4 linked regions of the Ovis aries genome follow. Each later gene encodes a partner of the first gene's protein in a complex. Links are inferred from orthologs where the notes say so. Each region holds a gene or a part of one and is shown in the gene's direction. Other genes may lie near its edges.

Region 1 (7,698 bases):
AGGCGCCCGCCGCGGAATTGGCCCTCTCGGGGCCGGCGTCCCTCTCGGCTTGCGGTCACTTCGGCGAGGGAACAGGGGGCGAGGAAAGCGAAAAGGTGATCTAAGTGACTTTTGCATTTTCTTCCCAGCCAACTTGGTTTCCCGTTGAGCCACTGGCCCTTTGTTTCAAAGGGTCACCAAGAAATAGCACAGAGCACTGTAAATGAGCCCAGAACTTGTAGTTCCTGCTTCGTGGTGGGTTTTATCAAGGCCGTGCAAAATTAAACCTTAAGCAGTGAAGTTTTTAAAAGTTGCTTTTCTTTCTCAAAAAAAATAAAATAAAACGCGCCCCCTGCTCTCCTATAAGCAGCCTTTATTAAAGGCCCGAAGCTGTTGCCGCCACCCCCACCCCCACCGCGGTTCTCCAAGGAACGCGGATCTGGGCTCCCTGGGGTGGGGGCTGGGCGGCGGGCTCTCCCCACCAGGCGCCAAATTCCAGCGCCTCCCCCCCGCGGGTTCCTGGACGGCTCTTCACGCTCGGCAGCCGGGCTTGCACTTTTGCGCCCGTCCCTGAGCGGGGAAATCAACGAAGTTCCTAGTCTAGATCTGCCCGGCCCGCCTAGTAACAGCGCCGCGCCCCCATTGGCTCATGCTAATTCCAGTTTCCTCCGTCTTTCTCCGGGGTTAGGGGGAAGCTCCCTCTTGGACCTGGAGTCCGTCCCGCCGGAGTGGGCGATCCTCGTTACGACCAGCTGCCCCTCCCCGTGGCGACTCTGCCTCGGGCCCGGGTCCGGGCACACGCGGGGCTCGGGCCCCTTCGCCTCCCGCCCTCCGGGACAGAAGCAACCCGGTGGTAGCGCGCAACCCCATAAATCATCCCGGCGGCCGCCGGGTCGGGATTTTATGAATGAAAAGCAACCCAGCCGCCCTCGTGCACGGGCTGATGCTCCGAGGCTCCCGCGTGCCGGGGGCCAACGCGAGCCTGGGTGCCCAGGGAGGGAGACACGGCGGTGGGCGCTCCCTTGTCGGGCCATCCGCTCCTCCCGAGGCGTGAGCCCAGGGTAATTACCCTCCTGGACCCGGAATATTAGTAATTCTGATTCTCTGCGGGGGAGGGGCGCGGGAAGAATCAGCTCTGAAAAGTGAGGGGGTCTTGTCCTGTTGTGTGCGCCCTTGCGAAGGGGAGGGGGGCTTTTTAATCCGTTTTCTTTGAGCCTTTAACGTTAGGGTATCAGATGGTTTGATGACACTAGACTATATTCAGAGGGAAGTTAATGAACAGTGTTCTTAATTTGGGGCAGGTAGAGTAAAAACTTTAAAAAAATGTTAAGACTGGGTAAGATGTCCTTTTATTTTAAAAATAAGCACCAAAGAGACTGAATCTTTTCAGTCTCTGAAACTATATTCTTTTATATTCTTATAAGTTTGCGATTAATATTGGGGACTCGCGTATAGCCACGAATATATATAGGTTTTGTTTAAAATCATCAGATCAATACACCTATTTCTTTAACTTGTAATTGTTCTGATTGTTGCCAGACCCCCGCCAACCGCCTCAGGCTCTCGAATGCAGCCCCCGGGCAAATTCTAAAGGTGAAGAGAGGTCCACACCCCCAACAAAGCCAATTAGGAAGTTTCCGGTGGTCTTCTCCCAGGCGGGGAGGCGACCAATATTTCCAGCGATTTAGCTTAATTTTTAATTAAAAAAACGAGACAGGACAGAGACCACTGTTTTGCAGCCTTCCTTTCAGAGTGTTTTTCTAGCTGTTAAATTGCCGGCACAGGGCGGGGGCGGGGGGGAAGTGTTGGGGGCCCCCCGCAAGAATGGACTAGCTAAGGTAGGAAGACAGTGCGCAGATCCCCCAGGCGAAGAGGACAGGGCGAAGGAAATGCTGGCCACCATCTTGGGCTGCTGCTGGAATTTTCGGGCATTTATTTTATTTTATTTTTTGAGCGAGCGCGTGTTAGGCTGAAAGCCCTTTAACTTTGGGGGTTACCCCTCCGGCATTTGCACAGACCCCCCTCGGTGCGGGAATGAAACCTCCACCGGGGTTGTCGGCTCTGCCCTGAGTCCCTGAATGGTAAATGGTTCCTGAAATTTACACGTGTTAATGAAAATGAAAGAAGACGTAGACGCTAAGATCCCTTGGCTGCCTCCGCCCGTGGGTGCCCTCGTGGCGTTCTCGGAAATGCGCCCATTCTCCCGGCTCAGAGTGTCACCGAACCCCAGCGTCCCCCTCCACACGGTCTCCCCCAGCTGCGTGTGGCCTGCCCGCCCTCCTAGTTGTCCCCCTCTGCAGAGCCACCGTCACCCAACCCCCCAAATCCTGCGGGACCCGCTCGGGGAGGACAGACCCCCCCCCCAACCCCCGCTCCTGCACCCCTCTTCCTCGGCGGGGAGAAAGGCAGCCTTAGGACGGTTTGCATTTCTATGAAAACCCGGCTTCGGGGGCAACACCGCGCGGTGCAGGCGCGGCGCCTCCGGGATGGCTTTTGGGCTCTGCCCCTCGCCGCTCCCCGACGCTCGGCGCCCGCGCCCCCTCCCCCTGCGCCCGGCCCCCCTCCTTCCCGCTCCCATTCTCTGCCCGGCTTTGATCTCTGCTTAACAACAGTAACGTCACACGGACTACAGGGGAGTTTTGTTGGAAGTTGCAAAGTCCTAGAGCCTCCAGAGGGCTGTCGGCGCAGTAGCAGCGAGCAGCAGCGTCCGCGCGCTCCGGCGAGGGGCAGACGAGCTCGAGGGAGCGCGGGGCAGCAGGAGCCCGAGTCGAGAGCCGACCCAGCCCCGGACCCATCGCCGCCCCCCGGCCACCTAGCCGAGCCCCCAACCATGGCACACCAGCTCCTGTGCTGCGAGATGGAAACCATTCGCCGGGCGTACCCCGATGCCAACCTCCTCAACGACCGAGTGCTGCGGGCCATGCTCAAGGCGGAGGAGACCTGCGCGCCCTCGGTGTCCTACTTCAAGTGTGTGCAGAAGGAGATCCTGCCGTCCATGCGGAAGATCGTGGCCACCTGGATGCTGGAGGTGCGGGGCTCCGGGCGGCTCTCTTAGCACTTTCCTGCGACTTGTTGCGCAAACCCACTTTTCTTTGCCACTCATCACCCTCCCTTCTCTCCCACCCAAACTTTGAAGTTTGCCAGAGTGTTGCTAGGAATCGTAGTTCCAAAATATATAGATATTCAGGGTATTTTTTTGAACAAGGAGGGAGTGGGGGTGGGGTCATTAGATAATTCCTTTCGTGGGTGGGTGGGGGCGGCGGCGGTCGAGGAGGGGTACCCTAGGGGAAAGCCACTGCCCGGGCACCCCAGTTGGCTTCAGGGTGCGGGCCCGCAGGCTGGGCGTCCTTTGTGGCCCCCGCCGGGACCTCCACCGCGCAGCCCCGCTGCGCCTCCTCTTGCGGCCGCGCGGCTGCTGAGCCGCCAGCTCCAGGGGGAGGGGGCATAGATTTGATTTTTAAATTAATATCCATGGACACGTATGCAAGGGCCGCTCGTGCCAGTATTATGCGCCATCTTTGTTCTTTTATTGCAAAGCAAAAGTGTTTATTAATAATTGGGGGCAGGGTGGGGGCGGGGAGCGGCCGGCCAGGCGCTTGGGGCCGCCGCGAGGGGCCGCGCCGCCACCGGGACCCAGCGGGAGGGGCGCGGGGACAGAGCTCGGGTAGTTGTGGGGGGACCCCTCTCGGGAAAGGGGGCCCCTTTGTTCAAGCAGTGGGTCCCGGGGCGTCCCGCAAGGCCAGCTTGGGCCAGAGAGCACGCCGGGCTGCAAGGTCGCGTGGCCCCCAAGACGCTAGGAATGGACCCTCATCTGCCGGGATCTCAGCTTGGGGGACCTGTCTGGAGCGAGCTGGGGGCCAGGGGCACGTTTTCAGGCCTTCAGAGGGCTCCCCGGGGCACCGCAAGTATTTTAAAATAATTTTTGAAAGTGCGGCGTGGTGCCCTTGCGAGAAGGAAACGGCGCCCGCGCCCAGGGGGAAGGGGGGCCCCCGAGTTTGAATTCCTGGGGCTCTCCCCTGAGCCCGCAACGAGCTCCCGACTCCCGGCCTGGGTAAAGGACAGTCTGAGGGTCATTTTCAGGGCATTTTTATGTACCCACTTAATTTTTTTATATTTTTAAATATTTTTTGAAAAGATGACGTCTGGGGAAATGCGGCGCGGCGGCCTGGGACGCCACCTTTGTGTCTCGCAGGCGCTGCGAGCGCGGCGCCCAGCCCCGCGGCCCTCCCCGCGGCCCTGCGCCCCATTTTTTGCCGACCCCAGGTCTGGCGGCTCCCGAAGCACCCACGCGGGCCGGGGTCCCTGGGACCCACAGCCCGCGCGCGACACACGCCGCCCAGCTGTGCCCGCTCCCGCCCCCACTGTGCCAGCCTAGCTGGGACTTTCCCTTTCAGTTTCGGGGTGGGTGAGTATTGGGGACTCCCGGGGAAGAGGGGCGCGGCGGCGGCGGCTTCTGCTGCCCCTTGCCCCGACCCTCCGCGCGCTCAGAGACCTCGCAGTCCAGCCGCCCTGGCGCGAGCCGGGTCGGGGGGCGCGAGGTCTCCGCAGAGGGGCCGGGCGCTCCCGGCGGCGGCGGCGGCGGCGGCGGTCACGGCCCCCGGTGCCCCCCGGCAGGTCTGCGAGGAGCAGAAGTGCGAGGAGGAGGTCTTCCCGCTGGCCATGAACTACCTGGACCGCTTCCTGTCGCTGGAGCCCGTGAAAAAGAGCCGCCTGCAGCTGCTGGGGGCCACCTGCATGTTCGTGGCCTCGAAGATGAAGGAGACCATCCCCCTGACGGCCGAGAAGCTGTGCGTCTACACTGACAACTCCATCCGGCCCGACGAGCTGCTGGTAACCCTGGGACCCCCGCCACGGCCCCTGAACGCCCAGTTAGCCGCGGGACCCCGGGGTGGGGGAGGCGCGGGGGTCCCCGGCGGGCCGCCGAGAGACCCTCGCCCCCAAGGAAGGCGGCCGCACGGGCGGGGCCCCGCGCCGCCCCGCAGCCGCGCCGCCGCCCCCCTCGCTTTCCCTCTGACTCCCACCACCTCTGCGCCCCCAGCGTTGCGAAAAGTGGGGGGCGCGCGCCCTCCAGCGGCGGCGGCGGGGCGGCGCCCGCGCGGTTGACCCGGCTCCGCGTTCCAGGTGTGGGCGGGCCCCTGGTCTCCGCCGGCCCAGGGTGGGCTGAGTTTAGGGTAGGACCCTTGGCGAGCAGCACCGTCCCTGCACGGAATGTGGGGTCGCGCGCTCTCCCCCTCACTTCCCGGACCCTCCAGCGACCCCCATCCCCTCTCTCCGACCCCTGCTCCACTGGGGTCCGCGCCTGCGCCTCTCGACACGCGTTTCCCCCGGGTCCGCAGCACATGGAGCTGGTCCTGGTGAACAAACTCAAGTGGAACCTGGCGGCCATGACCCCGCACGACTTCATCGAGCACTTCCTCTCCAAAATGCCGGTGGCCGAGGAGAACAAGCAGATCATCCGCAAACACGCGCAGACCTTCGTTGCCCTCTGTGCCACAGGTAGGGTGCTGGTCCCCGCCGCTGGTGCCCGGGAGGAGCTGCTTGGCCCATGCCTCGGTTTTCCGCGTCGGGGGAGATGCGGGAACATCTTCCCCGGGCCCCTCCCGTTCTTGGAAGCGCTCCTCTGTCCCCCGTTCTGGGGAGCAGAGAGGGCTGGGCTGCTTTTAAGGGCTCCAGGGAGGGGGGCGTTGCCTCCTGGGCGGGGGCAGCAGAGGCTGGTCTGTTACCACCCAGTGCCTGGGGGCCGCGGGGGCGGGTGGCCAGCCTGCCTGTGTCCAGCTGCTGTAGCTCCTGCTCCCCGCTGCAGGCAGGGGTCACTCTGTGCTGAAAGGGGTCTACCTTGGCCGTCCAGCCCCCACCGTCCCCCTCCCCACCCGTTCCTCCCATGTCCTCAAGGAGCCTGAGCTGCCGGGGCCCCCTCCTGGCTTCTCCCCGGCTGGGCCACCTGCCAGGGGCGCCTCAGGGGTGGGGAGCGCCGGCCGGCAGCGCCTGGACCACGTGCTCTGGGCCGCAGGCCGCGGCCCTCGCGCGGGGGCGGCCAGCAGAGGCGCTTGGCTGCCTGAGGCCCCGCCAGGGGCTCCGGCTCCGCTCCCTGCTCTCCCTGGGAGCGATTTCAGAGCGCCTGGGCTCAGGCCGCTGCGGTTGGCAGCAGGAACACCCCCCCACAACTCCCCTGGCACCGCTCTGGACCATCCCTGGGGGACCCTCCCTGGCAGGGCCCTCTCCCCAGCCCCCAGGCGGCCAGTCAGTCAGAACCCAGGGAGACACAGGGGCCGCCTCCTGCTTCTCCCAGCCCTGCCTCCTGAGCCCTGTGACCCCTTCCTCCCACTGATCCCATGCTCTGGGCCCAGGACCCCTGGGGACCCTGACCAGGGACCCATGCCCCATCCTGCCCAGCTCTTCTGCGGGCCGTCTCTCCCCCTCACCAGGCCTCAGCAGTCAGACCTATTGGGGGCTCCCTCTGGGCGACCTGAGGACCACGCTCCACCAAAGAGGACTTGACATCTTTCACCTCTTCCCCAGAAGGGGTGGGGTCACCCACCCACCATCTGATGTCACCCTCCCCATGTCCAGGGGTTCTAGTGGCTGAGGTTTCCAGGTTAGGGGAGGTGGAGAGATTGTGCTGCCCCATTTTCCTGCCTGCTCAAGGCATGAGCCCCTCTAAGAAGGACCCCTCAGAAGTCGTCCTGCCAAGTGAGCCACGGGGTGGGGGCAGACGAGAGGCCAAGAGCATCTCAGTTTGGATGGATCTGAGGGGTGAGGGTGCCCCCTCCCCTGGCTCTCCTGCCCCGCAGCACCCGCCCTTGGGCAGGGATGGTGTGGGGGGGGGCTCTCACACGTGTCTCCCCGGCCTCCAGGGGCCAGCCCGGCAAGCGGGTAGGGAGGCATTCTCTGGCTGGGATGCCTCCGAGAAGAGAAGCCTCCAGAGATTTGCAGGCAGCCTTTTATGGAGCTGAGAGTGGTTCAGAGAAACGACCAAGTTTCCCGCAGATAATGCAAGGAACGGTTCCTGCACGCGCTCCCCCGAGGATGGCTGGGACAGCCCGGAACACCCCCGCCCCTACTCCAGGGACCCCTGGGAAGTGGGGTGTGTGGCCTGGGAGGGGGTGCAGACAGCGCAGAACCTGGGCACAGAGGCCGTGCCCGCGCTCTGGCAGTTGTCTGAGAACCAGCCCAGCCAGCGCCCCTGGCCTGGAGTTACAGATACCTGCACACACATGGGGTGAAAGGCGGGGGATGGCCCGGGGTGACTCAGCATTTCATCTGCAGCAGCACTGGGGGGGCCGGGGAGCAGCACCCCCCAAAGCGGGTCCTGAGCTGTTGAACTTGAGTGGCACAGCTGTGTGCTTGAGTCACAAGCCGAGGTGGGGGTGTTTTCTTGAGGTGAGAAGGGCATGTTACAGCCTCAAACAGGTTTTGTGAAGTGGAGGCATGAGTACGTGCCCCAGCCCTCCACATGGCAGGGGTCCCTTTTGAAAGGTGCTAGGGAGGGGGGCGGGTGTCTGCTCTTCCTGGTCCATGCCTGGCAGACCTAGGTTCCTGACTAGGTGCCCAGGGGTGCTGGGGCACGCCACCCACACACCGGGTAGGGTTTTGCTCTGCTTCTAACGTGTGTGTCCATGTGTGCACGCTACGTGCTCAAGTTGCTCAGTTGTGTCCGACTCTTCGCGACCCCACGGACCATACCCCACCGGGCTCCTCTGTCCGTGGGCTTCTCCAGGC
Region 2 (7,590 bases), on another chromosome or scaffold:
CCACCCTTATGGCAGAAAGTGAAGAGGAGCTAAAAGCCTCTTGATGAAAGTAAAAGAGGAGAGTGAAAAAGTTGGCTTAAAGCTCAACATTCAGAAAACGAAGATCATGGCATCTGGTCCCATCACTTCATGGCAAATAGATGGGGAAACAGTGGAAACAGTGTCAGACTTTATTTTTGGGGGCTCCAAAATCACTGCAGATGGTGACTACAGCCATGAAATTCAAAGACACTTCCTCCTTGGAAGAAAAGTTATGACCAACCTAGATAGCATATTCAAAAGCAGAGACATTACTTTGCCGACTAAGGTCCGTCTAGTCAAAGCTATGGTTTTTCCAGTAGTCATGTATGGATGTGAGAGTTGGACTGTGAAGAAGGCTGAGTGCCGAAGAATTGATGCTTTTGAACTGTGGTGTTGAAGAAGACTCTTGAGAGTCCCTTGGACTGCAAGGAGATCCAACCAGTCCATTCTGAAGGAGATCAGCCCTGGGATTTCTCTGGAAGGAATTATGCTAGAGTTGAAACTCCCGTACTTTGGCCACCTCATGCAAAGAGTTGAGTCATTGGAGAAGACTCTGATGCTGGGAGGGATTGCGGGCAGGAGGAGAAGGGGATGACCGAGGATGAGATGGCTGGATGGCATCACTGACTCAATGGATGCCACTCTGAGTGAACTCCGGGAGTTGATGATGGACAGGGAGGCCTGGCGTGCTGCGATTCATGGGGTCGCAAAGAGTCGGACACAACTGAGCGACTGAACTGAACTGATTATAGGATATATCCAAGGACTTCATGGGAATATAAATAAATTAAAACTTTTTGTTTTGGAAGATGATCACGTTCTTTTGTTTTCAGTTCAGTTCCAGGCCTCCCTGTCCATCACCAACTCCCGGAGTTCACTCAGATTCACACCCATCGAGTCAGTGATGCCATCCAGCCATCTCATCCTCGGTCGTCCCCTTCTCTTCCTGCCCCCAATCCCTCCCAGCATCAGAGTCTTCTCCAATGAGTCAACTCTTCGCATGAGGTGGCCAAAGTACTGGAGTTTCAGCTTCAGCATCATTCCTTCCAAAGAAATCCCAGGGTTGATCTCCTTCAGAATGGACTGGTTGGATCTCCTTGCAGTCCAAGGGACTCTCAAGAGTCTTCTTCAACACCACAGTTCAAAAGCATCAATTCTTCGGCGCTCAGCCTTCTTCGCAGTCCAACTCTCACATCCATATATGACTACTGGAAAAACCATAGCCTTGACTAGACGGGCCTTAGTTGGCAAAGTAATGTCTCTGCTTTTGAATATGCTATCTAGGTTGATCACAACTTTTCTTCCAAGGAGGAAGTGTCTTTGAATTTCATGGCTGTAGTCACCGTCTGCAGTGATTTTGGAGCCCCCCAAAATAAAGTCTGACACAGTTTCTACTGTTTCCCCATCTATTTCCCATGAAGTGATGGGATCGGATGCCATGATCTTCGTTTTCTGAATGTTGAGCTTTAAGCCAACTTTTTCACTCTCCTCTTTCACTTTTATCAAGAGGCTTTTAGTTCCTCTTCGCTTTCTGCCATAAGGGTTGTGTCATCTGCATATCTGAGGTGATTGATATTTTCCCGGCAATCTTGATTCCAGCTTGTGGGTAAGATAAACTATTATTGCTCACAGTTGGTAATCCATACTGTGATGATCTATATGATTTATTAAATTATGCTTGGAATGAACATATTACCATATTTGTGCTGACCATGTTAGTCTGTCTACTAAGAGAGTTCAAAAAAACGCCATAGTTGCGACGATAACACTTTGTTGAATTTAGAACCCAAAGAGACTATTGGTTATTATGTATTATTAAGAAGCACGCCTGTGGTTTTAGGTCTTTGCAATAAAATAAAAGCAGTATGTGTATTATATTTCCTGCCGTAAGATCAGACTACACAACCCTGAACGTTCCCAGCTTTTCTCAGCTATGCTTATGGGAGCTAACTGGAGCTTGAATAGAGATGATTTGTTCCTCAGCCTGGATTCTCTCTGTGCCTGTTGGCTCAGGTGGGATAAATACTGTTGAGAGTCCATAAGGTAGTCGCTGAATTACAGTTAAGTAACAAAGCGTTATCATACTATGACTTGCTCTTCAACATTCTCAAGAGAAATTCCGGTTCTCTAAACGAGTTAGCCCGCACTCGACACAGAAAATGGCAGAAGCCTAGTCTACTCCGACTCCATGGCTTATGATCTGGGTTCGTTTATTTACGCCTTGGACAGGAGCCGGACCGGGAGTTGGAGCGAAGCTGCTTCTCGACGCTCGACTGCGGTTCCCTGAACGATTGCTTGGGCGCTCCTCCTTTGAGGTCTGGGGCGTTCGTCTATTCGGTGATCTCCTGCGCCGTCTTCTCGCTTGATGTCTCCCGAGCGGCGGCGGCGGCGGCGGCGGCGCCGGGTCGAAGGCTGTCTCGTCCGCGAGGCCCCCGCGCTCAGGCTGCTTTCTCCCGCCGGTCGGCGGAGCGGACCCCTCGCTTCCTTCTTGCCTCTCCTTCTAGTGCGCGGCTCAGTCCACCCGTTGGGCTGCAAACCGAGCCCCCGCCCGCCTCGCAGGTAGGCCCAGGAGGAGCCTGGGAGGCCCCGGCCCGGCATCCTTCCGCTGCCGGGTTCGGAAGACCTTGGCGCCGGCGGGTGGGTGGGCGGGAGGGCCGGTCGGCCGCGGAGACTCGGGCAGAGGAGGAGCTACACGGCGGCGGCGTTCGGGGGCGCGGTCGGAGAGGCGGCGGGCAGCGGAGGGAGAAGCCGGAAGGAAGGAGGGATGCTGGTTTTGCCGCCTGGAGTGGCCCGGGAGGGAGGGTTCGTTGGGTCCGGGGAGGGTGTCGGTACCCCCAGTGTTTGGGGGAAGCCGCTTTCCAGGAACGGATAGAGCTTTGCGCGCTTTGGCCTCCCGACCCCCAAAGGCTCCGGGTGTCACGACTCAGTTGTACTGGGGGACACTCTCCAAGTCCGGCCTTCGAAGGGACCCTTGACTAGGTGGAGGCTTGAGGCCGCAGGGCCCTCCGGTTCCTCTGAGCCAAGTGTCACGTTCTCGCCTTTTTTGGGGTAGGGAAACTGAGGTTCATCTGGGACGTGACTTTCCCCGTATCCAGCACAGATCTTTAAATGCACCGTGAGTTCATTTTTTCGTTGTTTACCAGTTCAGTGTGTCCCTCCCGCCCCCCCCCCCCATACTTAACCCGTCATTTTATCCACATAGTGATTTGTCGTTTGATCGTCTCTCTAGTCCCTCCTTCCGAGGAATATAGGTAAATTCCGTCCCTGGAGACTTCAGAAGTAAAGGGAACACGCAGTCTTGCGGCTGCTTTTGCTTTGAAAGTCTGTATCATTTTAGCGGGAGGAGTCATGACAATTTCTTTTTGTTTCTTGATATAAAATTTTGTTTGCTGTCTGGTTTACTTTCGCGTTGATACTTTCTGTCTCCTTCCTCAGCCTGTTTCTCACTGGAAGTCTTTCAACTGTGGTGTTAAGTACTTAATGTCCTGAAGAGGATGGTCAAGATTTTGAAGTCAGATATTTGTCCTGAGAGACTGCTTTCTAGGAAGAATCCAAATAAAACCTAAGGAGTCGCTTTTGTGCCGGTGTTGTGTATTGCATTAGTGACTTAGTTACTGCATATACTAGAGTTTAAAAGGCTATGTGTAGAAATCATTCAAATATTGACATATTTAAATCGAAAGTTTAAATATGGGAACTCCATTATCTTTTCCTTTTCTCTCCTAGCCCGGAAACTTTGGAGACTAAATGTTCTTCCTCGTTTTATTTTCATTGGATTTAGTGGCATGATTCTAATTTGTGTAATTTCTTTGTTGAAAAAAATAATCAACCTAGAGGTCATTCTAGGTTGAATAAGTATTTCCATAGTACAAATTTAGAATCAGTAGGAGTTGGGTTTTCTTAAGGGAGAAGAGACTAAATTTGTAGTCCTTGGAGTGAGACTGTACAAGTCTATGTACTTTAACAAATTTAGACTTCTCACATGACTTTTGGAAGGATTATTGTTTTTTCCTTGTATTATCATTATCATCATCATTTTAGTGAGGTCAGCAGGATTTAAATGTAGGGCCCTTGATCTTGAGTGATTTCCTAATTGCCAGATCCTGAGTGCTCCCTGGAATAGATTAATGAAGAGTCACTAGACTGTCTTTATGGAGAATCTATATTGGGAAGTTAGGCTAATGTGTGTTCTCTGAAAAAGTTTCTATGACAGAAGAGAATTTAATATCAGAGAAAAGAATTTAGAGGGCTTCCCCAGTTCGATCCCTGATCTGGGAAGAACGTCTGGAGAAGTAAATGGCAAACCACTCCCATACTCTTGCCTGGGAAATCCCATGGACTGAGGAGCCTGGTAGGCTACAGTCTATGGGGTTGCAAAAGAGACACAATTTGCTGAACAATGACAATGAAGAATTTAGAGAAGGGAGGGACATATTCCCCTGGAGATTGATAGGTTCTGCATAGAATTTAGAGTTAGTGGCTCCTGATGAATGCTAAATAAGAAATGAAATTCGCTGTAAGTGTCAGGAAGAAATTTTGGGGTATTTTGTTATGCTTCCATGGAAAATAATTAGCAGAGGTTTAAGTTGAGTTGAAGAGGACCAGGAATTTGGTTGTCGTGGAAAGGGGTAGAGCTTCTTATCAGCTTCCCCCCCTGCTTTGTGGTAGACGTTCACTCAACCTTTACCTTTCTCGGTTAAATCTTGTGTTCTGCTAATGTCAGGTCAAGCTCTCTTCTGGCCTTTCTTTTCAGAATTTACAAATTCCGAATGTGGCTGAATTATTCTGTCTTCTCTTTTAGTAAGAAAGTTCTTGGGGATTGTTAAAGATGTGAACTTCTTTGAATGTCTTTTAGAACTTATCCTGAAAGAAGTTATGTATACCACTTGAAAAAGACTAGTTATATATATATCACTTGAAAGCAGTTGGTTATTTTTATTAACAGAATAATAGCTTAGTTTTATACTGTATAATTTTCAAAATATTTTCAAGTTGTGTTAGGTTACTTATGAAACTTTTATCCTTTTGATCACACTCCTTTATGCTGCTTATTAATACTGAATCCAAAACAAACATTTATGGTCTTCAAGGACCTTCATGAATGTTGACAATTTACATTGGTGGTTTAATCTCACTCTTCTCATTTATCTAACTCTTAAAAGACTTGGAAGAAACAGTTTGTTGTTCGTACACTGCGTTCTCTTTTTTAAAGATACTTCTCAGCCCTGATCAAGTTATTTTGGAATGGGATGCAAATCTTTTTGCCCAGTGGTTTGGTTTACCAAAAAAAAAAAAAAACCTAAGGTTTTTTAAGTTCCTTTAATCATAGTCATGCTTGTTTCTTTCTCCAATTGTTCCTCATAAACCCAGAGAGAACTTTCTGTTTCTTGTCATATTTTTTTGTTTGTACGGAAGTGCTGTGGTACCACCTCTGCTGCGGCTTGGGGATATAATTGATGTTTTGTATTTTCAAACCCCTCCTTCCCCCAAGTTAATTAGATCAGGTTTTTTGGGTCCCTTTTTCTCAAAGCTAAAATTAGTTACTGATAGATAAAAATTTTGTGATCAGTTATTGTCAATATATTTATGTGTCAGTAGTATGCGGCAGTGGAGAAGGAAATGGCAGCCCACTCCAGTGTTCTTGCCTGGAGAATCCCAGGGACGGGGGAGCCGGGTGGGCTGCCGTCTTTGGGGTCGCACAGAGTCGGACACGACTGAAGCGACTTAGCAGCAGCAGCAGCAGTATGCGGCAGTCTGCCAAAGCAATGTGGCTGGAAGAAAACAGATTAAGGAATCAGGCGGCCTGGGTTTAAGTCCTGGGTTTACCATGTTGCTAGCTGAGAAATCTTGTACAGACTATTTAAGGAGGCCATAGGGAAGGTTACTTTCCTTTATTGAGCATTACTGTGTCGTGTTCTTTGCAAGTGTTAATCTCGTTTAATGCTCAGAACAGTCCTTGAAGGTACATGTTATTTTCCCCATGGATACTCAGATCACAGAGAAGTAGATGATATGTTCCAGATCACACAGCACATGTGTAGCAGAGGCAGGACTCAAATTCAAGGCTTTGAGCGCTTTTATGTGTCTGTATTGAAAGAATGGGAAAGATAATGCTGCTATTGTAATAACTTCTGTTGATAAAAAGAAGATACACGAAGCTGCTTTGAAAAGATAAGGTGCTCTTCCAATGTTAACTTCTGTGCAGTCTTGCAGCAACAGTGACTTGATGTCGTCTGGGTTCTCAGTCCCCTTGCTTCTTTGAAGGCAGCATTGTGCCTGACAGTCATGGAAAATAGAAGCAACAAACATTAAGTGCCCTGGAGAAGCTTACTAATGTGTTTGTGTCAACGAACATGTCCTTGGAAGTGCGAGGGAGAGAAGTTTTAGGTGCTGCCTGTGACTGCCTCTATTCCAGTTAGTCCTGGCTTGTTTGTGGATGAGTGTAGTCTCTTCTGGCTTGTTCTCTGTCTCTTCCTTTGCTCTTCGGGTTGATAATCTTCACTTCTTCACCTAAACTTTCTCCTTTCTTCACTGAGCATTGTTGTGGTACTGTGTTTTTGTCCTGAGGTATGAAATACTCCAGTCAGATCTTTTGGATCTCTTTCTTGATTGCACCTGTATGTGTTTTTTTTTTTTTTTGCACCTGTATGTTTCAAGCCTTACCTTTTCAGACTTTTATTCATCTAACAAATAATTATGGAAGGCTCATTAGATGCTGGGATACAAAAGTAAGACAGGAGTGTTCCTGACCTGATGGAATTAATTTGAATGGGGAGCAGAATTGACCAGGTATCTGATAAGGATTGAAATTTAGGCTGTGCTGTAAAGGAAACAGACAAGGGCTGAGGGGGAGAGAGAGATGAAGGCATGAGGAATGCATTAGGCGTTTGTGGGAGTTGACAGTAAGTCCCCTAAAAAGTTGCAATCACAACATACCACGATTCAGTGAATTAAAGTTCTACTGTTGCCGTTACAATGGAAGTCTTCGTAGATTGCTGTATGTAATGTTTGTCTGTTACTTAATGTATGATAACACTGGATTTGGCTTAGTAAAGGATAACCGTGACTTAATGAATATCCAGGATGCTTGACTACTGAATTTAATTTTTACTTTTTACAGTTTCCATTTATTAGTTTTTTCCCCAAAAAAGCTATTCTTTGAAAGTTGAGTTCAGTGAATTTGAAAACTGCGTACGGGCCTTCATATGTTCACAGCAGGGAATAAACTGAAGTATTTAGCTTTATGTAAAGGGAGAGACTTGGGGTTTCCCTTATAACTCAGCAGGGAAGAATCCGCCTGTAATACAGGAGCAACAGGAGGCTCAGGTTCTGTCCCTGCCTGGGTCAGGAAGATCCTCTGGAGGAGGGTATGGCAACCCACTCCAGTATTCTTACCTGGAGAATGCCATGGACAGAGGAGCCTGGTGGGCTACAATCCATGGGGTCGCATATGAGTTGGACACAACTGAAGCGACTTGGCACGCTCGCAGAGGGAGAGACTTAGGAGAATTGTGAAATTAGGGGAGGGAAAATGTAGGCTGCTGTTGAGTGTGTATATATTAATAATAA
Region 3 (7,343 bases), on another chromosome or scaffold:
GGGAATGAAAATATGGTTGAAGTCCAAGGCATGATAAAACCCTAGCAGGGTTCCTCCTCTTGCCAGTGAAGCCCTGAGATCTGTAGTGTCTGTTCAAGCCCTTCTGTGTGTCCCTTCTTGGCTGGCACCCCAAGCATGCCCATCTGGAGAACTGTCAAGCCCTTGAATTTAATCATGTGGGGAAGAAGGGGCCTGTCAAATCTACATTTTGAAAAAGCTCCTCAAGTGGTAAGGAGCCTCTCTCTTGGTGAGGAAATCTCAGAATTAGGGAGTAGGGTTCAACACCAGCATGCAGAACACAGGGCATTCGGGGCTGGGTTCAAATCCTGACTGTGCCACTGGTGAGCTGTGTGACCTTGGGAAACTTACTTAATTTCTCTGAGCCTTGGTTACCTCTTCCGTAAAAGAGCTGATATAGCCATTTCTTCTGAAAATTAATATCCATAAACTTTTTTACAACAGCCCTTGGCTCATAAAATGTGTAAATAAGTCTCAGTCCTTATCCCTGAAGAGAGTGAGCAAAGGTTATTTATGGGCTTTGTCCACTGTGCTGTGTAACCCCTCTCTCTATGTGGTATGTGGCAGCTTGAGTAGACGCTATTGATCTTTTTAACCGTGTGGGTTCAGGGCAAGTCTTAAAACTCCTGCCCTTTAAACTCGGTCAGAGGTCATCTAGTGCCCTCCCCTCCCCTGTGTGCTGAGACTTGGAGCTGTGGGCTTCACTCACTGTGAGAGGTGGAGTGGGGACAGGTAGGTATGGTGTGGGTCCAGGGCTGCTTGCCCCAGGAGGACCCTCAGCAGGGCTTTCACCTTCAGAGCCTGCAAATCAGGACGTGTCCCCAGGAAAACCCAGTCCCTGTTAAAGTCATGCAGGTGCTCAGACCTGGAGTCAAGCCAGAGCCGGGCAGGGAGGTGCCAGCACCCCCTCATGGGCAGGCTCACCTTCAGTGTTCCCTCTCCTTTAGTTTTCCCTCTCCCACTTTAGTGGGAGGAGAGGAGCCAGGTAGACCGGTGCCTTTAATTTTCTTTGCCTGCAAAACGGGTTCCTTGGATGCAGGCAGAATGGGGCAGGGGCTTCCAGGTTGTCTAGACTTCAGGTCACCTGATGTACCTGGCAGGATGTGGCTCAGCCTGGGAGAAATCATTGCTCTGCCCTGCCCTGCCTGGCTCCTCCTTACCCGCAGGCTGCCTGCCTGATGACATCCTTGGGAAAGGCCCTCAGCCCACAACACCTGTCAGCTGCTGTCTGAAGGAGGCGGTGGCCCAGGTGGAGTGATGGGGAGGAGTCAGCCAGAACTAAAGGCAGAGAGAAATAATATTCTCCAAACACTTTCTCTGTACTTGGTACGGCTCAGAGGGCGTTATCTACAACCGCTTAGCGAATTCTCACATCTGGCCTCTGAGACAGTCGCTGTTGTTATCTCCTTCTAGAAATGACACCAGAAATAGATGTCCCTTTCATCATAGGCGACTGGAATGTAAAAGTAGGAACTCAGGAGGTACCTGGAGTTACAGGCAAGTTTAGCCTTGGAGTACAAAGTGAAGCAGGGCAAATGGAGTTTTGCCAAGGGAACGCACTAGTTACAGCAAACACCCTCGTCCAACATACACAAGAGACAACTCTACACATGGAAATCTCCATCTTATACAGGAGGAAAACAGAACCCAGAGAAGTTAAGCCACTTGTCGAAGGTTGCCCAGCAGAGCCTGGATTCCAACCCAAGTGGCCTGGTTCCAAAGCCCTCACCTTGAACCACCAAGATACAGCCGTTGAACTCTGCTCCATCTGCCTTGCCTGGCGGGGCCCGCCAATCATTTCCTTGAGCCTGCGTCTACAGCCCCACTCTTTAGACATGTATGCAGTCCCATTTTACAGATGAGGAAACTGAGGCCGGGGGACTTGAAGTGACTCTTTGAAAGTTGAGGTAGGAAGTGGCAGAGCGAGGACTAGAACCCAGGTGCTTTTAACCCCAAAATCCAGAGTAGTTTTAAGTCACTGAGCAGGATTACTCCACATGAGCATCTAGATGGAGGGATTTGAGAGGAGGCATCCATTTTCTTGGGAATTGACCTCCCCGGCCAGGCCTGGAGTTAGGAAACTGCTGGACTCTGACAATTCACACATACCTGGGGGCATTCACACCCATGAGGGACACCTCAGTGGGAAAAACAAATTGATTTTAGCTGATAACACCCAGTGGTAAACAGGACCCTGATCCCTGCTATTGCAATAAACTTGCCTTTGTTGACATAAACTTGCCCTTCAGCTGCCCACTCCCCCAGTGACCTGGGGGTGTCAGGCTGACTGACTCTGCCCCTCACACCCTTTCTGTGGGTGGAGGTTGGGAGAGCCTGTGGGAGGAACCCGAGAGCCCCTCTCACCTCACTTTCTAGTAAGGAGACTGCGCCTGAGGTTACGCAGTGGCATGGCCCAGAGAGGGAGCGTCCGACTTCCTGAGTGTCTCACGTGCCCCGGGTCTTCCTTGTGTTCCAGCCACAGGTGCCATGTCTGAGCCGTCCAGGGACGCGCATCAGATCCCCCGCAGCAGCAAGGCCTGCCGCTGCCTCTTTGGTCCAGTGGACAGCGAGCAGCTGCGCCAGGACTGCGACGCCCTCATGGCCAGCTGCGTGCAGGAGGCCCGAGAGCGATGGAACTTCGACTTTGTCACCGAGACGCCCCTGGAGGGGGACTTTGCCTGGGAGCGTGTGAGGGGCCTCGGCCTGCCCAAGCTCTACCTGCCCGTGGGGCCCCGAGACGATGTGGGAGGGGGCAAGCGGCCGAGCCCCTCATCCGCCCTGCTGCAGGGCACGTCTCAGGAGGACCACTTGGACCTGTCGCTGTCCTGCACCCTCGTGACTCGCTCCCCTGAGCGGCCCGAGGGGACCCCTGGTGGGCCTGGTCCCTCCCAGGGCCGGAAACGGCGCCAGACCAGCATGACAGGTGAGGACGGGAGCAGAGGTGGCGGCAAGGGATTAGGACTCCCAGAACTCACTGTGCCAGGGCTGACCTGTCTGGCCCAGCTTACTCATCGCTCTGAGGGGTGGGAAACAGGCCCAGAGAGGGGAAGTGGCTTGCCTGAGGTCACACAGCAAGTCTACTACCAAGACCAATTAGCTGACATTTATTTGGAACATTGACTATGTGCCAGGACCTTTGATAAGTGTCTAGATTTCTTTTAGTCCTTATAGTGATCTAATATCATAGGACATTCTTGGCATCCTTTTACAGGCAAAGGAACAGGACTCTGAGAGGTAGAATGGTTTGCCTTAGGTCCCACACTGAATTTACCATGGAGAGTAAATGAATGATAATTTCCTGGCTGCCTTATCCAAACCTAACTCGCCTTCCCCTTCATACATACACACCTTCACCTGCACTTCCTAGCCTATTTTTCTCTTTTTGGCACTTTTTAAACTATCAACAGCTACTTCCATATTTTGATATAGTCCATCTTCCCAAATAGAATCCTATCATCTCCACAAGAAAGAAATCTGTATCTCTCTTGTTCATAATTGAGTCCTCAGCACCTTGGATGGTGTGTGACACATAGTAGGTGCTTGAGGGAAATGGAATAAGTGAGGCTGGCAGTTGAACACTATGCCAGGCCTTCAGCCAACGTCTTTTTATTTTTTACTTTACAAATGTATTACTGTTATTATTTTGGCTGTACGGCTTGTGGGATCTTAATTCCCTGAGCAAGGACAGAACCCAGGCCACCTCTGTTGAGCGCAAGGAGTCTTAGCCACTGGACCACCAGGGAAGTCCCCACCAAGGTCTTTCCGGAAACATTTCATTTAATCCTCTGAGCATCGTACCAGCGTTATCCTCATTTTATAGGTGAGGAAATGGAAGCTTGGAGCAGTGCAGCCAAGAATCCCACAGCACATTTGCAGCTGGGTCAAAACTAACAATAATGATAATAATAATAACTAACCTTTATATGGCTCAGACATCATGCAGAACGCTCTCTGATATATCAGGCTCTGCAAAGAAGCAGATGCCCAGTACCGCTGGCCACATATCACTGCTGAGTGTTTGCCATGAGGAACTAAATTTTTCTATTAGTCTAATGCTAGTTAATTTAAACAGCCGCCTAGGGTTAGCGACCACTGCATTTGGGCAGCTTGGCTTAAAGCAGGCCCATGCATGTAAAGTCTGTTATTGATCACGTCTGTGAAGCGTGGGGGGATGTCCTGTATGTATGTAGCCCTCCGGGAGAGAGGCTAGAAGTTTCCAGAGTTCTTCCCTATACTTGGCAATGTGTCTCTCGGGCCCTGGGGAGGGGTCCCTGGCCCCTCTGCAGGTTGCACTGCGCAGGTGGCTCTGCTGGGCCCTCTTCCTCCTGACCTGGCTGACATCTGTTCTCTCCCCCCAGATTTCTACCACTCCAAACGCAGGCTGATCTGCTCCAAGAGGAAGCCCTAACCCCGCTGCTGGAAGCACGTCCTCGTGGAAACAGGGGCCCACTGCAGGCCTCTTCTGTACCTTTTGCCTTGGTCCTTCAGTTTGTGCGTCTTAATTATTATTTGTGTTTTAATTTAAACGCCTCCTCTTGTACATACCCTGCTTGCTGCCACCCTTCCCACACCCCCAGCCTCTGGAATTATTTAAAAAAGAAAAAAATTAGCAGAAAAAATAGGCTTATTAGATTGCTAGGTATTTTTATTATATGAACCGTTATTTAAACCCTCCTCATTCTTTGCTCGGAGAAGGCAATGGCACCCCACTCCAGCACTCTTGCCTGGAAAATCCCATGGGCGGAGCAGCCTGGTAGGCTGCAGTCCATGGGGTCGCTAAGAGCTGGACACGACTGAGCAACTTCACTTTCACTTTTCACTTTCATGCATTGGAGAAGGAAATGGCAACCCACTCCAGTGTTCTTGCCTGGAAAATCCCATGGGCGGAGCAGCCTGGTAGGCTGCAGTCCATGGGGTCGCTAAGAGCTGGACACGACTGAGCAACTTCACTTTCACTTTTCACTTTCATGCATTGGAGAAGGAAATGGCAACCCACTCCAGTGTTCTTGCCTGGGGAATCCCAGGGACGGGGGAGCCTGGTGGGCTGCCATCTATGGGGTCACACAGAGTCGGACACGACTGAAGTGACTTAGCAGCAGCAGCAGCATCCTTTGCTTTCCTCGTCCTCGCTCCTCTGAGGCTGGCGTGACCCCCATCCTCTGGGTGGCACTCTCTGGAGGGGCCTGGTTCCCTCCCCCCTGCCATCTGATGGGTGTTACGAAGTCTCGCCCCCTCTTTCCTGCATTCTCAGACCTGAATTCCTTACAATCTGAGAAGTAAATAGATAGCACTTTGAAGGGGGCCCAACAGAGTTGGAGGCATCATCAAAACTTTGGGTTCCCCTTGCCCCTCTAAGGTTGGGCAGGGTGACCCTGAAGTGGGCACAGCCTGGAAATGGGGCTGCGGGATTGGACACCCTTCTGGCCCTTGATTCCCACCTCCGTCCTGTGAAGGCATGGGGAAGGTAGGGGCCCGTAGCAAACCACCCCTGCCTCCCACCCCCCCACCCCCATCCTCAGGGGAGCCAATCTCAGTGTTTGGCTTCCCTGTCCCCTGCATTTTTCCAGGAGCCCCAGAGGCCCCTGTTTCCCAGCCAGGCTCTCAGTCCCTCTCTGCTCCTCTCCCTTCCTCCATGCCCTTTCCCTTTAGTATCTTCTCAGCCCTGGGTGGCAGCTCTGAGGGGGTGCCCTAACCCCCAACTCAGTGGACTGGTGGAGGAAAGGACATGCTAGACATAGGGTTCCCCAGTTCTACCTCAAGCAGCGACTGCCCCCTGCTCTTAGCTCTTGGGGTGGGGGGTCCTGGGTGGTCAGGCAGGCCTCCTTGAATGGGGATCTCTCTGTGTTAGGGGTAGGTGGGTGAGGAGCAGATTTTTCCAGGAGGGACAGTGTGACACCAGCCCCTGGAACTCGTCCAAGGACTTTTTCCATTGGCCCCACCCCTTCCCCCATTTCATTGCACTTTGAATAACAGCTGAAGGAGTCAGATGGCGGGAACAGAGGCTGTGGATAGGATATGCTAAGTGGGCAAATATGGGTCTGGGAGCTGTGAGTCATTGTCTTTCCTGGCGCGGAACCTCTTGGTGGGCCTGAGCCCAGATGCCTTCCAGCTCCTGTAGCATCCTGGCCTGGACTGTTTTCTCCTGGCTCCCATACGTCCTGTTTCTTCTGTCTCCACCTAGACTGGAAGCCCCTCAAGGGCAGGGAGTAAGTCCTGTACTGCTCTGTGTGCTTCAAAGCCCCGCCCACAGTGCTGAGTATACAGCAGGTGCTCAATAAATACTCCTGATGACTTTACTCATAATATTAGTGTTGTGGTTGATATACCTTACTATTTATAAGAACAAGTAGGTGGAGGTTTTTTAAATTAAATATGCACTTAATAAAAAAGCAAAATAGTTTAGCAAAAGAAAGACCAAGACCACAAAACAAAAAGCAGACAATAACAAAACAATAAGTCATCACACCTCTACAGATTGCCACTGTTGGGTTCTTGTGTGTGGTTTTTTAAAAAGTAAAGAATACATTGTGACTCATCAGAAAAAAATGCAAATTAAAATCACAAATAAGATACCAGTACACATCTACCAGAATGACTAACATGAAAAAGACTGACAATGTCAAGTGTTGGTGAGGATACAGAGCAACTGGAACTCATACCTCCTGGTGGAAGCATGAGCTATTTCATCTCCTTTGGAATAACTCTTCGGCAATATCTTCTAAAGATGCCTCCCCTCAAGCCTAGGGGAGGAATGATGTCTAGGAATTCCATTCTTAGGTTTGTTCTCAAGAGAAATAAACACACAGTTGTGCCTAAAGATATTTTTATAGCAGCGTTATTCATAACAGAGCCTATGAAACAACCTAAATGTCCAGAACATAAGAACAGATACATAAACTGTGGTATCTGTGTATAGTGGAATCCTATATGACATTAAAAAGAACAAAGTACTCTTACATGAATCTTCTGATTATTTATATTTATCAACCCTAAGACTGACTGACTGAAGCCTTAGTAGCTTAAAACAGTAATCATTTCTTTGCTCTGGATCCTGCAGTTTGGCCAAGAACTACTTTTCAAATACTGAATAATCTTCTGTTCTGTGGACCATGGCTTTGCTCCAGAACCCTCAGGGTCTGAGATGAGGCTGTGCCCTTGGGGCTTTTGGAGACTTTACACTGTTTGCTTATCTCCCGTGGATATTTCCAGTATTATGGGATATGCTGGGTCACGTCCCAAGTGTTTTCCCCATAGTGAGGACCTATTGCAGAGCCTCTTTAGCTCTGGACTCCACTTAATAAATAAATCATCCAATACATGAGCAG
Region 4 (7,469 bases), on another chromosome or scaffold:
TACTCTAGAATGTCTCCATTTACATAGATGTGGTAGTTGTGTACTTATGCATCTGAATTTATGTTCATATAGAATACAGAATTTTGGTGTAGTCCAACAACTGTGTAAAGATTTCAACAACAATAATCTATAATTTCAGGAGTAGGGTATTGAGACCTACCCTAATTTTTCTGTCCCTCTTCTCCATCTTCTCCAGTTCAGTAAATTAAGTGGGGGCATTCGACCTAAAAAATAAAGAAGATGAGACCTTTTACTTAGATGCCAGATGAAATATTTTCTCTCCATCAGGTAGGAAGTCTGGCCTTTGAAAGCACTGTCTCTCTCACTGCTCTCTGGGTCTCACCCTGCCCCTTTGGAATCTGCATTTTAGTCATATTAAGTGCAAGGTCATACCAAAGGCCAGTGACAGTCCTATTTAAATATCAGGGACCACAGGCCACATCAAGGAAACAGCTGCAAGCAGCCCAGAGCATGAGAAGGAGCCATTTTGAATCATTTATAGGAGAGGAGGACCTGCAGACTATAGATAGGAGAATCACTCTGGGTAATAACCCAGAGAAACCTCTCTTGAGTCTCAGTTTCCTCAATGGTTAAAAGAGAAGGTTGAACCACAGGGTTTCCAAGGTTCCTCCTAACTCCTACATTCTGGAATGTCTGAAGCAAGGAAGGCACACAAAGTGGGCAAATACTATGTGGGTTAAGAAAACAAGTTAAATGTCAAACTCACCTGTAGCATAGATGCCTAAGAAAACTGTTGTGCACAATTGCTGTTGGGCACTGTTAGAACCGGAGATTACTTTCCAGTAAAATGTGTAACTTTGATCCAGAACAAAAGAAGGATAGGGAGGGCAGTTAAAGACCCTTTGTTTCAGATATAACAGCCTGTCCATCCTGTTTTAACTTCCATCACCTTGCTCAGGAGCACAGTTAGGTAAATGTCAAGTTGCAAAGGGGAGCAGAGAAATGCCGAAATACTGGGTTGACCAAAAAGCTCGTTTGGGCTTTTCCGTAGGATCGCCTGGAAAACTCCGAACGAACTTTCTGACCAACCGAACAATCTCAGACGTGAGGACACGGTTGTGGTTGCTTTAGAAATCACTTCGCAATCCGGACTTTCCGATTCCTTTCACTCTTAGAAGATCCGCCGCCCTTTAAAAGCGTCAGTCACTTGCATCTGAATGGTGTTCTGGGTGGGTTCCAAGAAGTTGAGTCTGGTGGGAGAGAAGGGTGGAGGAAGGAAGAAGCTGTTGTGTTTGGCGGCTGGACTCAGGTAGAGGAAACTGCTACAACCCGGCAAAGAATTGAAAAATACAAAGAGGAGACGAGTTCCCACACGCAGCCCACGTCAGTGAACTGTACTTGGGAGGCAAGAACCTGGGCCAGGGATCTAACCTCGCTTTTTTTTTTTTAAACTAAATGTGTCTGAGACAGCTACAAAGTTTATTAGGGACTTGGGAGATCAGTTGACTTTTTGATCTTGCAATCCTTTCTTATTTTTTATTGAGAGAAACCTTGGGTTCAGAATACATAATAAAGACTGCATCTATTCCAGGGTAATTTACAGAAAGACGTCCTCCTAGGCTTCTCACCTAAGCCCCTAACCTCCCCTAGAAATAGCAGACTTCTAGGTTAAGGCTGAACTAACCACTGCTCACCTCCAGCTTAAGGCACCCAGGCCGAGGGGCTCCCCGCCTCCCCCGCCATGTGAGCGATTGGGGGCCCCCGGGGGGGAGCCCAGCTAGGGGGCCGAGCTCCCACCCTGCGTCCCCCCATCCCCCGCTCGGTGAGTGCAGCGCAAACAAGATCGCCAGCCAAGGGTACCACCACCGGCGGCCGAGCACCTTGGAACTCTCCCCCGCTTTCCCGGGCGAGGAGCCGGGGAGGTCGGGGCTCCGGAGCAGTGGCGCGCGGGTCCGCGCAGCGCCCGGGATCAGAACACCCGCCGGCCGGCCCCGCTGCCCAGGCCCCTCCCCGGCTCCCCGGCCGTTTGGCGAGCTCGTTTGTCTTATTTGTAATTTCTCCTAGGCCAGCCGGAGCAGGTCTGCTGGCAAGCCGTGCGCCTCCCGCAGTCACGCGACCAGCCCCGGGTCCCGGCCGCGCGCTCGGCGGCGGCGGCGGCGCGCTCGGGAGGCGGGGAGGCGCGGCGGGGCCACCTTAAGGCCGAGCTCGCCAGCCTCGGCGGGGCGGCTCCCGGCGCCGCGACCAATGATCTCCTCCTCTGTTTAAATAGACTCGCGGTGTCAATCATCTTCTCCTTCGTCAGCCTCCCTTCCACCGCCATATTGGGCAACTCCAAAAAGGGGGCTCGTCTTTTCGGGGGTGTTTTTTTTCCTTCCTCCCCGCTTTCCTCTGGGCTCACTCTCTCGCCGCTCCGCGACTCCGCGACGCCCGCAAGGTTTGGAGACGGCGCTCGGGCGGCGGGACCCGCGGGCTCGCGGCGGCCCGGACTCGGAGCGGCTCTGCCCCCTCCTGTCTCGGCGGCGCTCGGCTCCCCTCCCCTCCGCTCCCCGCCCTCCCGCTTGATCGGCCGGGATCGGGGCTGCCTGGCCCCGGGGGGCTGCCCCTCGCCCCCTCCCCCAGCCCCGTGCGCGCCTAGACGCTCGGGCGCTGACTCGGCTCGCGTTTGTTTCTCTTGGCTCCAGGGGCCGGCGCAGGGCTTATAAAGAGGGGCTCGGGCTGGGTCGGGGCGTTTTGTTTTGTTCGGTTTTGTTTGGCGAGAGAGAGAGAGCGCGCGCAAGAGCCTCAGTCGCCGAGACCCCCCACCCCCACCCCACCCCCTGGGAGGAAGATGTCAAACGTGCGAGTGTCTAACGGGAGCCCGAGCCTGGAGCGGATGGACGCCAGACAGGCGGAGTACCCCAAGCCCTCGGCTTGCAGAAACCTCTTTGGCCCGGTCAATCACGAAGAGTTAACCCGGGACTTGGAGAAGCATTGCAGAGACATGGAAGAGGCCAGCCAGCGCAAGTGGAATTTTGATTTTCAGAATCACAAGCCCCTGGAGGGCAAGTACGAGTGGCAGGAGGTAGAAAAGGGCAACCTGCCCGAGTTCTACTACAGACCCCCGCGGCCACCCAAAGGCGCCTGCAAGGTGCCGGCGCAGGAAGGCCAGGATGCCAGCGGGGCCCGCCCGGCGGTGCCTTTACTTGGGTCTCAGGCAAACCCAGAGGACACGCATTTGGTCGATCAGAAGACTGATGCCCCGGACAGCCAGACCGGGTTAGCGGAGCAGTGCCCCGGGATAAGGAAGCGACCTGCCGCAGATGGTAATGACCCTTTCCGATGCCTAAAATGTCTGTCTCTGTCTGCCGCGCTCCTTTCCCTGCTTGAGGGTCTTTAACCGCAGCTTTCTTTTCAGCGCGTTCTGACTTAGCTTTTGGGGCGGAGGTGGGGGGAGCGCACTTTCCTACTTTGAGGTACATGAGTACATGCTATTTATTTAGTTGCCTGCTTGTCTGTTTATGACTTTTAAGTCAGAAGCTTGAGATTGTGTTATCTGATCATTTCTCTAACTGAAAACATCGCGGCTCCTCCCAGCTAGACAGCGGTAGGTATGTGACAATGTTGGGATGTTTATCAACTGCCTCCTTCTTCGCTTTGGAGAGAGAGCTTTGAAGCGTAGAAAATACACTTTCTGTTATGTGAAAACAACTTCATTTTGTGCCCTTAAAGGCCACTGGGAATGACGGACCCAAGATTGTGGGTGGAGGTAGTGGGTTTTTTGTCCCTTGACTCTTGGGCTCACTTCTGTCGGCCATTGTTTTTTTCTAATAAAGATTGTTTGTGTGTGTTCTTTTTAAAAATTCCCTCTTGCCCTTAGATTCCTCTCCTCAAAACAAAAGAGCCAACAGAACAGAAGAAAATGTTTCAGACGGTTCCCCCAACGCCGGTTCAGTGGAGCAGACGCCCAAGAAGCCTGGCCTCAGAAGGCGTCAGACGTAAACCACTCGGTGGGTTGATGACTTGGAGCAAATAAGTGACACCCCAGTTGGGTTGCAGGAACTGGTGGGCTTTCAAGCCCCAAGATAACCCGATCTCAGTGGGGGCTGGCCGATGAAAACTTGGGGGCTTTTGTTTTATGCTTTGGGAGGACAAAAAGGTAGGAATGGGGAAGACTGGGAATCAGTGGGGAGGTACTATAGTTCTTCCCAGTTTTCACCTCCTGAGATTATTTTCCTTTGAAGCACCAACTGATCAGAGCAAGTGTCCCAGGCAAGTTCTTGTAACCAAGGCTCCGTGAGTAGGAAGGTCAGTTCCCTGAAGGTGCCATCAAAACATGTCCAGAACAATAGGTTCTTTTTCCATCTGACCAAGAGCAGGGGTCTGCCTCCATCCCACTTCATGAGAATTCATCTCCCAGAGGACCATGTTGACTCAGTAACAGATTTTGAGCTCTACATGGGCAAAAATGGCAAATAAATGATTTAATTAAAACTTCGAGGGAAAAGTGAGGCACTTTTCCTCACTGAAAAAGTGGTTCATATCTGGATAATCAAATATTTATAAATGTGACAGAAATATATGACTTGCTTTTGTCTTTATCATTTTCATATGCTCTCACACTCTCTGGCTTCTGATAAGTTTGGAGGATGGAGAAGGAACCTGTGTGTTTAAAAAAAGTAAAACTGAAATGGAAGGCTCAAAAATACTAAGGTTCCTGCGGAATTTCTGATAACACTGAAGTTGCAAAGCAGAAGTGACTCTGCCAGAGTAAGCAATCCAGGAACACGTCAGCATGCGTATGCTAATCATGCTATAACAGGAGAAGCTGGGTGCTTGTAGAGGAAATGGAGAGTAGTTATCGGGGTTGGCAGGGGTAGGTGTACCCCCAACATTAGAAGTGGAGATTTTTGCCGTTTACTAAAATACGATCAATATGAAAAGCTAATTTGAATAATCAGCCCCCAGCTTTACATGGATTGGTCTTAAGGATCAAACTACACATATTCATAGTTTGTAAACTTATAATAACTATGTCCTTCTTTCTCTCTCCACTCTCACTAGCCTAGCATATAAAGAGATCCTAAGAAATGTTTACACTAACTTTTAAAATCCTCATTTGTAAAAATTTTAAAGAAGGATGAAGGTGAGGTTCAAGTTTGTTGTGTTTTTAAATCAGTGTCATATATAGGACTTGGCTACATATATGTGATATTTTTCAGAGCTTATATAAAACAGTGCTATGAAACCTCTACATCACAGCTTATATATATGAAGTAGGTAAATTGGATGAAAATGATTTCTGAAGTAACCCTAACACCTGCGGCTCTTGGTTTGTGACTTGTGGCGTAAGTCGTCAGATGAGCAAATCAGACCTGTTGAATTTTGATCTGGCTCCATTCTCACCTACCGAGAAGCACTTGTTAGTAAATATTGCCAGTTCAGAGAATACAGGAAATCGTAGTAAGGACCTATTCATAAGCATTCGTGTGTATATTTCTACATATGACTAAGACTAGAAGATTTTGAGAAAAAAAAAAAGTGAATAGAATTTTCTTTGGAGAGCCTTTATAAATATCATTGCCAATTATTTTTCAGACAGAAAATTCTGCTGCTCTTAAGTGTTATTGGTTTCTGAATTTTCCCATGTCTGTTCTTTCTCAGTATCTTTGACCCCAATTCTCTAGACCAGGGTTCCTCAACCTCTGCACTGCTGACATTTGGGGCCGAATAATTCTTTGTTGAGGGAGGCTGTCCCGGGCATTGTAGAATGTTCTGGCAGCATCCCTGATCTCTTGAAGCACATGTCAGTAGAAACCTCTCCAGTCATACCCAGTGTGACAACCAAAAATGTCTCCAGCCATTGCCAAATGTCCCCCTGGGGGTGGGAGGGTGGCGAGGGCAGGCAGCAAAATTACCCTCTGTTGAATACCGCTGTTCTAGACAAAAGCCTATAGCACAGGGGAGAGTGAAAAGCCAGTGAGAGAAATGTTGGATGGAGATGACTCTAGTCACCAGCTTTTAGTATGTTCGTTCTTTCCCGTTGCTCAGGTATTTCCCAGCTAAAACTAACAAAATAATTCCGGTAATATATTGGCAATGTTTTTTTAGTGCCTTTTCTTCTAATTCTTTCTCCTTGTTTCTTTTGCAGAACTAAGAGTATGTTTCCTTGTTTATCAGATACATCACTGCTTGATGAAGCAAGGAAGATATAAATTAAAAATTTGGAATACATATCGCTGACTCCAAGAACGGACATCCTTTACAAGCACTGAACAGCAACAGACTTAACACTAAAGTTTTAGGCACTCTTAAATCATCTGCCTCTAAAAGCGTTGGATGTAGCATTGTGCAATTAGGTTTTTCCTTATTTGCTTCATTGTACTACCTGTGTATATAGTTTTTACTTTTTATGTAGCACATAAACTTTGGGGAAGGGAGGGCTGGGGGGTACTGAGGAATTGGCATGGGGTGGGTATTAAGAGCTTGCTTCGATTTAGAGCAAGGACAAAAATATTTGACTTGCATGAAGAGAAGCAGTTTGGGGGAAGGGTTTGAATTATTTTCTTTAAAGATGTAATGTCCCTTTCAATGAAAACGGATACTTCATTTAAAAAATCACCCAAATTTGAACACTGGCTGCAGATAATTGCTATTTATTTTTACATGAAGTTTTTTTTCTCATTTGGGAGCTCTGATGATTCCGTTATATGGTAGCAAATGGCTTTTTTTTTAAAAACAACAACAACAACAAAAAGCTCAGTGCTCCCCACTAGTCTCCCTTACAATTGGAATTTACCCAGTATTCATCAGTCTGGTAATCACTCCAGGTACCTCTGGGCACTCTGGCATGTATGTGGGGAGTGTTCTGAATGCACAGAATTGACCATTTAATTTTTATCAGAATTTTGAGGACATTTCTTAATTTTCTTTTCACTTCAGGGTGTGTGTAGACACAGACAAAATAATTCTAAATCCTTGGATATTTTTAAAGATCTGTAAGTAACTTGACATAAAAAATAATGAAATAATTTTTAATTTACAGCTTCTCATTCTGTTTCTTAATTTGTCCAAAGGATAGTGGTATTTTTAAAGGAAAGTGCATATAGAGAAAAGCACCCGTGGGTTGGAGAAATGGATACTACATCTTTAAACAGTATTTTTACATTGCCTGTGTATGTGTATGAAACAAAACCATTTGAAGTGTACCTGTGTACATAACTCTGTAAAGACACTGAAAATTATACTAACTTATTTATGTTAAAAAGAGATTTTTTTTTTTTTAATCTAGACAATATACAAGCCAAAGTGGCATGTTTTGTGCATTTGTAAATGCTGTATCGGGTAGAGTAGGTTTTTCCCCTTCTGTTCTTCTGTTAAATAATATGGCTATGCTTAAAAGGTTGCATACTGAGCCAAGTATAATTTTTTGTAATGTGTGGAAAAGATGCCAATTATTGTTACACATCAAGTAATCAATAAAGAAAACTTCCAGAGCTATTCGTTGAGTTGAACTGTATGTAAATATACCT

The links. Proteins that work in one complex are often made in the same cells at the same time.
Region 2: the proteins of CCND1 (region 1) and AMBRA1 are in contact, whole or in part, in a cryo-EM structure (PDB 9IVD), measured with the Homo sapiens proteins. The link is inferred for Ovis aries from reciprocal best matches to the Homo sapiens genes CCND1 and AMBRA1. Residues at the interface, in NP_444284.1 of Homo sapiens: Thr286, Pro287, Thr288, Asp289, Val290, Arg291, Val293, Asp294, Ile295; in NP_001354397.1 of Homo sapiens: Arg54, Ser55, Phe57, Val73, His75, Arg96, Thr97, Trp99, Leu116, Ala139, Arg184, Ile945, Asn1012, Asn1029.
Region 3: the proteins of CCND1 (region 1) and CDKN1A are in contact, whole or in part, in a crystal structure (PDB 6P8H), measured with the Homo sapiens proteins. The link is inferred for Ovis aries from reciprocal best matches to the Homo sapiens genes CCND1 and CDKN1A. Residues at the interface, in NP_444284.1 of Homo sapiens: Met56, Ile59, Thr62, Trp63, Glu66, Val67, Glu70, Glu92, Lys95, Lys96, Ser97, Arg98, Leu99, Gln100, Leu101, Ile126, Tyr127, Thr128, Asp129, Ser131, Arg133, Glu136, Gln139, Met140, Leu142, Leu143, Asn146, Lys147; in NP_000380.1 of Homo sapiens: Ser15, Lys16, Ala17, Cys18, Arg19, Arg20, Leu21, Phe22, Gly23, Pro24, Val25, Ser27, Gln29, Leu30, Asp33, Cys34, Asp35, Leu37, Met38, Cys41.
Region 4: the proteins of CCND1 (region 1) and CDKN1B are in contact, whole or in part, in a crystal structure (PDB 6P8F), measured with the Homo sapiens proteins. The link is inferred for Ovis aries from reciprocal best matches to the Homo sapiens genes CCND1 and CDKN1B. Residues at the interface, in NP_444284.1 of Homo sapiens: Met56, Ile59, Val60, Trp63, Glu66, Val67, Glu70, Glu92, Lys95, Lys96, Ser97, Arg98, Leu99, Gln100, Leu101, Ile126, Tyr127, Thr128, Asp129, Ser131, Arg133, Glu136, Gln139, Met140, Leu142, Leu143, Asn146, Lys147; in NP_004055.1 of Homo sapiens: Lys25, Pro26, Ser27, Ala28, Cys29, Arg30, Asn31, Leu32, Phe33, Pro35, Val36, His38, Glu39, Glu40, Leu41, Thr42, Asp44, Leu45, His48, Cys49, Met52.

The regions. Positions count from the first base shown.
Region 1 is NC_056074.1:43,279,476-43,287,173, forward strand, and holds the start of CCND1 (G1/S-specific cyclin-D1), read left to right. Parts: upstream 1-2,649; 5' UTR 2,650-2,809; coding exon 2,810-3,007; intron 3,008-4,593; coding exon 4,594-4,809; intron 4,810-5,315; coding exon 5,316-5,475; intron 5,476-7,698. UniProt on the Homo sapiens protein: Regulatory component of the cyclin D1-CDK4 (DC) complex that phosphorylates and inhibits members of the retinoblastoma (RB) protein family including RB1 and regulates the cell-cycle during G(1)/S transition.
Region 2 is NC_056068.1:75,484,447-75,492,036, reverse strand, and holds the start of AMBRA1 (activating molecule in BECN1-regulated autophagy protein 1), read left to right. Parts: upstream 1-2,373; 5' UTR 2,374-2,580; intron 2,581-2,740; exon of another isoform or gene 2,741-3,136; intron 3,137-7,590. UniProt on the Homo sapiens protein: Substrate-recognition component of a DCX (DDB1-CUL4-X-box) E3 ubiquitin-protein ligase complex involved in cell cycle control and autophagy.
Region 3 is NC_056073.1:10,678,571-10,685,913, forward strand, and holds CDKN1A (cyclin-dependent kinase inhibitor 1), read left to right. Parts: upstream 1-2,505; coding exon 2,506-2,941; coding exon of another isoform or gene 2,942-3,138; exon of another isoform or gene 3,139-4,376; coding exon 4,377-4,426; downstream 4,427-7,343. UniProt on the Homo sapiens protein: Plays an important role in controlling cell cycle progression and DNA damage-induced G2 arrest. Involved in p53/TP53 mediated inhibition of cellular proliferation in response to DNA damage.
Region 4 is NC_056056.1:202,777,834-202,785,302, reverse strand, and holds CDKN1B (cyclin-dependent kinase inhibitor 1B), read left to right. Parts: upstream 1-2,252; 5' UTR 2,253-2,788; coding exon 2,789-3,263; intron 3,264-3,817; coding exon 3,818-3,939; 3' UTR 3,940-3,947; intron 3,948-6,088; 3' UTR 6,089-7,437; downstream 7,438-7,469. UniProt on the Homo sapiens protein: Important regulator of cell cycle progression. Inhibits the kinase activity of CDK2 bound to cyclin A, but has little inhibitory activity on CDK2 bound to SPDYA. Involved in G1 arrest. Potent inhibitor of cyclin E- and cyclin A-CDK2 complexes.